2 linked regions of the Coturnix japonica genome follow. The protein of the gene in region 1 purifies or fractionates together with the protein of each later gene. This does not show direct contact. Links are inferred from orthologs where the notes say so. Each region holds a gene or a part of one and is shown on either strand. Other genes may lie near its edges.

Region 1 (4,604 bases):
GCAGGACACCCAACCGCAGCATCGTCTCCATCCCCACCTCTGAGAGGCTCCAGAACCGGCGTTGTAAGCTGATAGAGGATGAGAGGCTGCTGGGTTTGGTTGGCAAGCAGCAGCGCCAGCGCTACGTCACCAAGGTGGGCAAGTGCCAAGTGAACCTGGGCAACATCCAGGAGAAGAAGAGGTTCCTCTCAGATATTTTCACCACTATTGTGGACCTGAAGTACCGGTGGTTCCTCTTTGTGTTCATGATGTGCTATATTGTCACCTGGGTTGTCTTTGGCACCGTCTATTTCTTCGATGCATGGGTAAGGGATGACATCAACCACATCGGGGACCCAGAGTGGAAGGCTTGCATCGAGAACGTGGACAACTTCATATCTGCCTTACTCTTCTCTGTGGAAAGCCAGAGGACCATTGGCTACGGCTCCAGGATCGTGACAGCCAACTGCGCCGAGGGCGTCATCCTGCTGATGGTGCAGTCCATCATAGGCTCCATGATTGATGCCCTCATGGTGGGCTGCATGTTTGTCAAGATCTCCAGGCCCAAAAAGCGCGCCCAGACCTTAATCTTCAGTAAAAATTGTGTCATCTCCCATAGGGATGAAAAGCTCTGTCTGATGTTCCGCATCGGGGACCTCCGGGAGAGTCACATGGTGGATGCAAAAATAAGAGCCAAACTGATCAAATCCCGACAAACCAAAGAAGGGGAGTTCATCCCCTTGGAGCAGTCGGAGCTGAATTTAGGCTACGATACAGGGGAGGACAGGTTGTTCCTGGTGGAGCCCCAGATCATCTGCCACGTCATCAACCAGCACAGCCCCTTCTGGGACCTGTCGGCGGAGTCGTTGAAGAGGGAGCAGTTTGAGATCATCATCATCCTCGAGGGTATTGTGGAAGCTACGGGTGAGTGAGGAGGGGTTGGGGTCAGGCAGAGCCGGGTATGAGGGACAGGGAGTGGGGTCTATGGGCAGCTGCTTGTGTTAGTGTGATGCAAAGTCCATCTCGCCATGTCTCTGCTGCAGGGATGACGTGCCAGGCCCGCACCTCTTACACTGAGGACGAGATCCTGTGGGGGTATCGCTTCGAGCCCTGCATGTCCTTGGAGAAAGGAGCCTTCCACGTGGACTACAGCCGCTTCGAGCTGACCTTCGAGGTGCAGACGCCAGCAGTGAGCGCCAGGGAGATGCAAGAGATGGCGGAGCTGGAGCGCAGGGACCGCTCCACACCCAGCCTGTGCTGGGAGCTGCCGCCACAGCCCTGTGGGCCCTGACATGGAGGCTCAATGCAACTGTTGTTGTGTCACGGGGCAAAGAACCCCTCAACAGGACATTAAAAGCTGTTCATTGCAATGGTGATGTGTGTGGTGTTGGCTTGGAGCATATAGGGCTGCTCAAAGGGCATTTCTCTTCCTGGCCTACTCAGCCAACTCAGCGCTATTGGGACATGGCAATGGGATAAGGCCTCATGGGTGGGGTGGGAGGGAGGTTGCAATACACACATATAGGATCATAAGAGATCAATGAGTCCAACCCTAGTGAACCACAGCCCTAAGCACTGCATCCCTACGGCTCTGAACACCTTTAGGGACAGTGACGCCAACACAAGACATCCATAAATCAATATTATATCCTAAGTGTGCGAATTCCAACATAAACTAATTAATTAACTAATTAACTAATTAATTAACTAATGCATGTGGGTGGCACCAGTTTTTGTTTACATGGAGTCCTCCAAGACGCCAGGGGGAGCTAAAGCACTGCGACACCCTCTTGTATGGACATTATATAACGTCATTAGTGTGCGACGTGCTGACTGAGTAGGAGCTGAGCGCGGCGGTGCCGGGCCTGCCCGGTTCGGTTCGGTTCGGTTTAGTTCGGTTCGTCCCCGCAGACCGGTTGTGTCCGTCCCGCATGGCGCGGCGTTGAATGGAGATGACCGATCAGGAGAACAACAACAACATCTCCGGGAATCCTTTCGCTGCGTTATTCAGCTCCATCGCAGACGCCAAGCAGTTCGCAGCAGGACAGAAACAGCAGCTGAGGCAGCTGGCAGGTCAGGGCTGGGCCTGTATGGGGGGTAAATGAGGGGTAAATGGGGGTAAATGGGGGTTAACGGGGGGTAAATGGAGGTAAAAAGGGGGTAAATGGGAGGTAAATATGGGTAAATGGGGGGTAAGGGGGGGCAGAGGGGCTTCTCTGTGTCCCTTCGTGCCTTTCCATGTCTGTGAGTGCTAAAGGAAGAAGCTCACTCAGGAGGTTTTATTTTGCAGGAGAAGAAACTTCGGTCAGTCAAGATGACTCTGATAACAGCGTGTCCGAGAGCCTGGATGATTGTGATTACTCTGTGGCTGAGATCAGCCGTTCTTTCAGGTCTCAGAGGGAGCTGTGCGAGCAGCTCAACATCAATCACATGATCCAAAGGATCTTTCTCATCACTCTTGATAACAGTGAGTGCTCCTGATGTCCTGTGGTTGTTGATCTGGCTTTTATATGGCCTCAAGGGGATGGGATGCTGGTGCTCTGTTCTCTGGGTGAGCAGTAGGAGGCATAGCCCCTTCTCATACAGCAAGCTCCGCTCTGTTTCTTGTTCTGGTTTAAAACAACCTGGGAGGAATGCAAGGTGGAACAGCTCTGTGTCCTTGAACCACGCAGCTGCTTCGCATTTTATGTTCCCAGAACCTTGAACAGAGCTTGTGTGTTTGCATTGTACCTGAAAGGGTGAGAGAAAACAGCATTACACAACTGCTGTGAAAGGCTGTTTCTGCCTCTGTGCTTGAAAAAACAGGCTCTGAATGCAGCAAATGGAAGTGTCACTTAGTATATCTCACATCTGGCACTATTGTGCTGAGGAGCTTGTGCTGCTCATGCTCAGTGGGGCTGCATGGGGCAAGGATGTGAATAGAGAAACTCCCTGAGAGCTTGGGGGTCTTGTGAGCAACCACGTAGTACCCCAAAGCTTATTTCCTACAAGTGACGTCAGTGTAAGAGTGCAGCTTCTAATGATGTTGGGTCTCTGCTTGCTGGGTTCCCTAATGAAATGTGTTTTAAGCAGGAGCTCATCAGATCTATGTAAAATTGGACAGGGATGCTGGGAGGTGGGCAGTGCTTCCCTGCAGCAGCCAGTAGCAGATGACTGTCTGCCCCAGGCAGGATCCTGCTTGCAGATTTCACTTCTGCAGTTATATTCTATCAGCTGTGACCACAGATGATTTATATTCTCACCAGGTGATCCCAGCATGAAGAGTGGAAATGGGATTCCAGCTCGTTGTGTGTATTTGGAAGAAATGGCTGCAGATCTGGATGACCAAGACTGGCTTGACATGGAAAACATCGAGCAGGTATAATGACTGCGTGCCTCATATCTCATGCAGAACAATGACTGTCCAGATAGAGACTGCATCAGGGCTACAAGAGAGATGCTGATTGTAACTGGCCAGACTGTTAAACTCCTGGCTTGCAGGAGCTGTTTCACTTTCATGGTGTTTTTTTCTTGTATCTAGGCGCTGTTTACCCGCCTGCTGCTGCAGGAGCCTGGAAACAACCTGATTTACATGACTTCTGCTGGCACACAGAATCTCTCTGCAGATCGAGATGCAGGGGAGAAACAAATCCTACGCTACCTCTATGCCTGTTTCCAGAGGGCAAGAGAAGAGGTGGGTAGAAGTTTCTGAGAAGGGAGGTAACTTTGTTATCTAAAAGCTGATCTTTGTTATCTAAAAGCTGATCTTTGTTATCTAAAAGCTGATCTTTGTTATCTAAAAGCTGATCTTTCCATGGCAAGAGGTGGATATGGAGCCTCTGATCCGTTCTGTTCTTTCTGTGCAGATAACCAAGGTTCCAGAGAACTTGCTGCCCTTTGCTGTGCGCTGCCGAAATCTGACTGTGTCAAATGCTCACACCGTTCTTCTCACCCCAGAGATTTATGTCAACCAAAATGTGTATGAGCAGCTGGTGGATCTGATGCTGGAAGCATTGAGAGGAGCACGTAAGTCTGAAGTTAATTAATGTCTTAGTGAGGTTATTGTTAAGAGCTGTGAGTGTTGTCAGTAATTCCCTTGTGTCCCTTGCTAGATTTTGAAGACATGACTGAGTTTCTTGAGGAGGTCATAGAAGCCTTAACGATGGATGAGGAAGTGCGGACGTTTGGGGAAGTCATGGTTCCAGTGTTTGATATTTTATTGAGCAGGATCAAGGACTTGGACCTTTGTCAGATCCTTCTATACACTTACCTGGATATGATCCTTTATTTCACAAAGCAGAAAGATATAGCAAAGGTATGTGCTCTTCAGTTATCAGGAGCTGTTGGCTGCTTTGATTGTTACTGGGAAACCCAACTGGTTGGAATTGTATCATCTTAGTGTTGTCCTATGAATACTTCCGTAGCATTGCTCAGAAAGACAAGAGGTAGAAGAAGTGGGAAAGGAGTTTGCACATGACAACAGGGAAGCAGACAGTAGTCCTAGAAGCAGATACTCTGTGGCACTTCTTGTGCTCTTGTTTCTAGGACCTCATCTTTACAATGTAATTCTGATTTCAGTTTAGGCTGCTGCACGTTCAACTGTTTTCCCTAGGTTTTTGCAGGGTATATTCAGCCCAAGGATCCCA
Region 2 (4,565 bases), on another chromosome or scaffold:
AGACCTTATAAGGACTGATGGTGACATATCACACTGAGAGCAGTGGAAATTCTGAGGCACAGAAATGCTACAAGGTGGCCATGGAACCTACCGACTTCAACCCAAAGTGATCTGCTACACTTGATTTCCTAACTTAAAGAAACTATATTAAAAAAGAAACAAAACTGCAATATTGCATTACGTCAAACTCAATTTACAGAACTTGAACTGGGGACATTTTGCTTCTTCCTAACACCTACCTTGGAACTCTTCCCTGCAGTTGTGATAAGATCAGTTGGAGAGACTGGCACACATCACAGCCTTGTTGTTTGTACAGTGTCCAAATTAGTTACTGTAAGAAACAGCACTAGGATAGTGCTAGGATAGGCTACAGCACTGATTTACAGATGCTAGGAAACACACCAGAGCTTGGCTCTATGTTAATTTAAATCCTTTTTAACTGGTTTGAACTGATACTTTGATTTGTTAATGGACCACTGATTAGCATCCAGTAACAGTGCAATTAAAAGAAATCCACTCATGGAAATATTTTCCTTTACAATCCAAGAGAATTTTGGGTTGTTTTTTTTGAGGGGGGAAGGTGTGAATCACCAATGTCCTAAAATGTAAACAGCTTTTTTGCATTACTTCAAATACTGATTGCCAAATTCAATTTTGCATATTTATCTGATACCAGCTCACATTTCCACAGGAGTGACAGATGGAATTTCAATCAAATTTGGCTCTGTATGTTCTCAGAAGCAGCAAATGCTCTGGAGGTGGGCTGTAAAGCTTCCTTGCACCTTACACAACATTGCAAATATAAGCAACTTGGGAAGCCGGCTGGGCATGAGAGAACCCTTTAGAATCTTTTCAAAGCAAAGCTCTGGAAGGTACCTTAATCCATGTGCAGCTCTCTGCCCTCCGTGTTCTTCACTGTGCAACCAGCCCAGCCTGATCCCTGTCCTGCACTACAACGCTCCGTGTATTTGCAGCTTTTCAGGGCTATGAGCTGTGGTTAACGGCAGCCACTGAGGCGATCAACTGCAGCAGCTCCTTGACCCTACGGTTAGACGGTGAAATGTGTTAAACTGTAGCTACATGAGAATGTAACAAAAACAATTCCTCTTGATGTCACCCTTACCAGCTGTACACACACAGCGCAGCTCTCACAGGTCGGACACCATGTGCCCTTCCCTTGGCCTGCTCCAACATTTTCTCTCGTTGTGGTGGTGCAGGCCTTGCAGCAGCGCTGCTCCTCACAGCAAACCGCGCTCGGTTCCTTCCCACACACCGAGCACCGCTTTCTGTCAGTTCCACACACACACTTGGCTTTCCCGGGTGAGCCGCACAGCCACACACCACATATGCACAGGCCTCTTTTTCCTCGCCACAGAGTAGCGATGTTTCACAACAGCCTCGAAGCCGGGTCGGAGCGCTGCAAACCGCTCAGAGGCAACGCACGAAGCGCCCAACATGGCACCCAACATGGCGCCCATCGCCCCGCAGCCTGAGGCGAATCTGCCGCCATCGAGCGCGCGACCGCGGGCGGGCACCAATCAGAAGGCGGGGCCGGGCCCACGGCGCAGGCGCGTGACGGGAGATCGGCGCATGCGCACGGCGGCTGTGTCGGCTCCGGAGCCCGGCGGTCACCATGATGTGGTTCGGGGGATCCATCCCGGCCGCCATCGCCGCCGCCAAGCAGCACGGAGCCGTGTTCGTCGTGTTTGTGGCAGGTAACGGCAGATCGGGGCGGGGGGCGGAGCTGAGAGACGGCTGGGGGCATCACCCGCCGTGACAGGGAGTCAGCCGAGCTGTCGGGCCTGAGGGCCGCGAGAAGAGGGAACAGCTGAGGGTTGAGAATGTGTAACTTACAGAATTTTCTTCATGCAACTCAAGCTGCACTGAACTGTCCTGTTCTATTAGATGTGAATGTTGACTGGGTGGCTGTGGGAAGGCACAGCTGCTCAGGCTGGTGATATGACCGCAGGATGGAGCCTTGCTTTGATACTGTGATACTTTGATATCGTGGTGGTGGCAGTGATGTTAGATCTTCATGGCGCAGACTGGCCCATAGGCACACATAAGGGACAGGCAATCCCAAAGCTGCTGGCTGAGCAGGGAGAGATGCTTTCAGAGCTGTTATTTGTAGATGTTGTTTACGCTTTGCTCAGTGATCTGCATCTGTTTGTTTCCATGTGAAACTTCTTAGGACTGAGGAATAGGGGAGTTGAGTCCTTTGGCAACCTGGAGTGGTTTTAATAGGTTCCTCTTACAGGAACATGGTTATTGCAGACTGTGTCTTTTCCAGTGATGTGGATGACGTGGGAGGTGATGGATTGCTGTCCCTGTGCACAGCTCTCACTTGACCTGACCACACTGAAGAGATCAGCACGTGTGACTGAGAGTTGTGTGCAGGTCTTTGATTGCTGCTAAGTGAAATACAGGGATGTGTGGGCACGAGAGTTGTGAGGCAGTTGTATTAACTCAGTGTTGAGCTGAGCCAGCGCTGTTGGTGGCGGCCTCTCAGCTTTCTCCGTGCCTTTCACATTTCCTTTTCAGGATACAGTTACTGCGATAAATGAACGTGAAATCCCAAGTGGGAAAGGGTTATTAACAAAAAGATACCAAGTAGCCGTTCTGTGGGTAGTCTCCAGGTTAAAGTGCTTTATGAGGTAGGGTTTCATAGAAGGTGAGTTATCAGCATTTTCCTTCCTGGGTCACAGCTCTCAGAGACGGCACATTGAACGACGCCTGACCTGTTTTTGTCCTTCAGATTCTTTTGCCAACTGCAGCAGTTGTTTGTCTGGAAAAGTCACCATTAGGCAAGTCTGGAGGTATTTTTAGTAGCCTAATCGGATGAGCACGTGTGAAAGTGTGTGCAGCACAGTGTGTGCAGCACAGCGTGTGCAGCACAGTGTGTGCAGCACAGCGTGTGCAGCACAGTGGCTCTGTCCCAGCGTGGGGCGGGGGCAGGAGGCCGCACCACTGGGCACAACAGCTGCAGCCACCCGCTGCACTTGGCTCCCTAAAAATATCCCAAACGTGAACTTGGGGTATGTGGGCTGATAGGAGGTAACTGCTCTTGGGGTATGTGGGCTGATAGGAGCAGAGATTAGTGCTTCCAGGGGAAAATCAGGGTGTACGGATGGAAAACACTTGTCCAAAAGCAGCGTGCTTTGTATTTGTTTCCTTCTGAGCAGCACTGCGACCAGTCCTGATTTAAAGGAAGCAAAGCTTCACAGGGGGATTCCTGGTTGTTCGTGAGTAAAAGATACCACGTGAAATAGCGACTGGGGTGAAACATGCAATGAGATGATGCAATCAAGCCAATCCCCAGTGCCATCAATCAGTTCCTGCTCCTTTATCCCTGTTCCATCTGTGCGGTCCAGTCCCTTCTGCTCCCCTGGACTGACTTGCCATGCAGCTGAATGAGCGTGCAAGCTACATGCTTACTGTCTTAGAAGGGTTTTTGGTATATTTGCCTTTTTTTGGCATGTTAGCAAGATGAATCAGCTGCAGTGAATTACCTCCAGATTATAGGAAAGAAAAGAAGATTAACTGTTTTGCAAATAATTGACAGTCTCTTTCATCAACTACTTCAAGCAGCTGAAGCAGAGCTGAAGTCAGGGGCGGTTGTTTGTTCAGCTTCGTGTGTGTTGTGTTTGCAGGTGAGGATGAACAGTCGGCTGAGATGGCTGCAAGGTGGGAGGACGCTCAGGTGACCGAGGCTGCCTCCGATGGATTTGTTGCTATTAAAATCGACACCAAAAGGTTTGATTTAACTCTAATTCTGTCTCTTATACAGTCTTTCATTGATGATGATGGAAGTATGAGGCATGTGAAGTTCTCTCCTTGCACTGGAGGTAGTTAAATACAGTGTTTGAGGGCATAAGTGAGTTCAGTACTGCTGAAGCCACCAGAATCTGAAAAAAATGAAAATCTGCATTGTTGTGTAGAATATTCTCTGTGTGTTTCCTGCTGGCTTCAGCATTAGTAGAGGAATGCTTGGGGATGTCCTCTTGTAAAAGAAAAAGATGTAAAAAGATAATGTGGAATCAAAAAGCAAGTGCTCTCAAGGCAGCCCTTTGTTCAGTAGGATGGGTCTGTGAGGCCCTAGAGAAATTCTCTCTTTTGTAACACACAGCACGGAAGCATCGAGGCTTCTGGATACAACACTCAGCTTTGTCAGAGTAAGAACTTCAGCTCCAGTGAGGAAAGTGCATTGATGTGTCCAAAAGTTGCATTATTTTAAAAGGCTGTACAGACCCTTTAGAAACATGGCACTGTTTGCACTCAGTGGGTTAGACGTCTCCTTCCTATACTGCTTCTTAGCACTGCTTCCATAAATAATCTACTGCACTCAACTGTGATAAGCAGGGATTGATAACACTTATGCAGAATGATAATGAGAAGATGCAACACGAGTTTGCTTTTAGTGTTTTCTCAAGTATTTAAATAGTTCCGTGTGTGGTGGTAGAACAGTTATTTTTATGATGAAAGGCTTAATCTCAAGTTGTTGCAAAGTAAATGTGCTTCCTCAACATGCCTCTTTTCTTCTTACCAGTGAAGCCTGCCTGCAGTTC

Evidence for each region.
Region 2: the proteins of UBE4A (region 1) and UBXN4 purify together in Homo sapiens (affinity purification with mass spectrometry; 3 studies listed by BioGRID and IntAct, counting the BioPlex papers as one, with this or other methods). This does not show direct contact. The link is inferred for Coturnix japonica from reciprocal best matches to the Homo sapiens genes UBE4A and UBXN4.

The regions. Positions count from the first base shown.
Region 1 is NC_029539.1:3,764,953-3,769,556, reverse strand, and holds the start of UBE4A (ubiquitin conjugation factor E4 A), read left to right. Parts: upstream 1-1,802; 5' UTR 1,803-1,925; coding exon 1,926-2,052; intron 2,053-2,269; coding exon 2,270-2,446; intron 2,447-3,224; coding exon 3,225-3,337; intron 3,338-3,499; coding exon 3,500-3,652; intron 3,653-3,824; coding exon 3,825-3,984; intron 3,985-4,070; coding exon 4,071-4,273; intron 4,274-4,570; coding exon 4,571-4,604. Other genes in the region: G protein-activated inward rectifier potassium channel 4-like, read left to right, coding at 1-903, 1,023-1,270.
Region 2 is NC_029522.1:27,814,572-27,819,136, forward strand, and holds the start of UBXN4 (UBX domain-containing protein 4), read left to right. Parts: upstream 1-1,578; 5' UTR 1,579-1,633; coding exon 1,634-1,715; intron 1,716-3,650; coding exon 3,651-3,753; intron 3,754-4,546; coding exon 4,547-4,565. UniProt on the Homo sapiens protein: Involved in endoplasmic reticulum-associated protein degradation (ERAD). Acts as a platform to recruit both UBQLN1 and VCP to the ER during ERAD.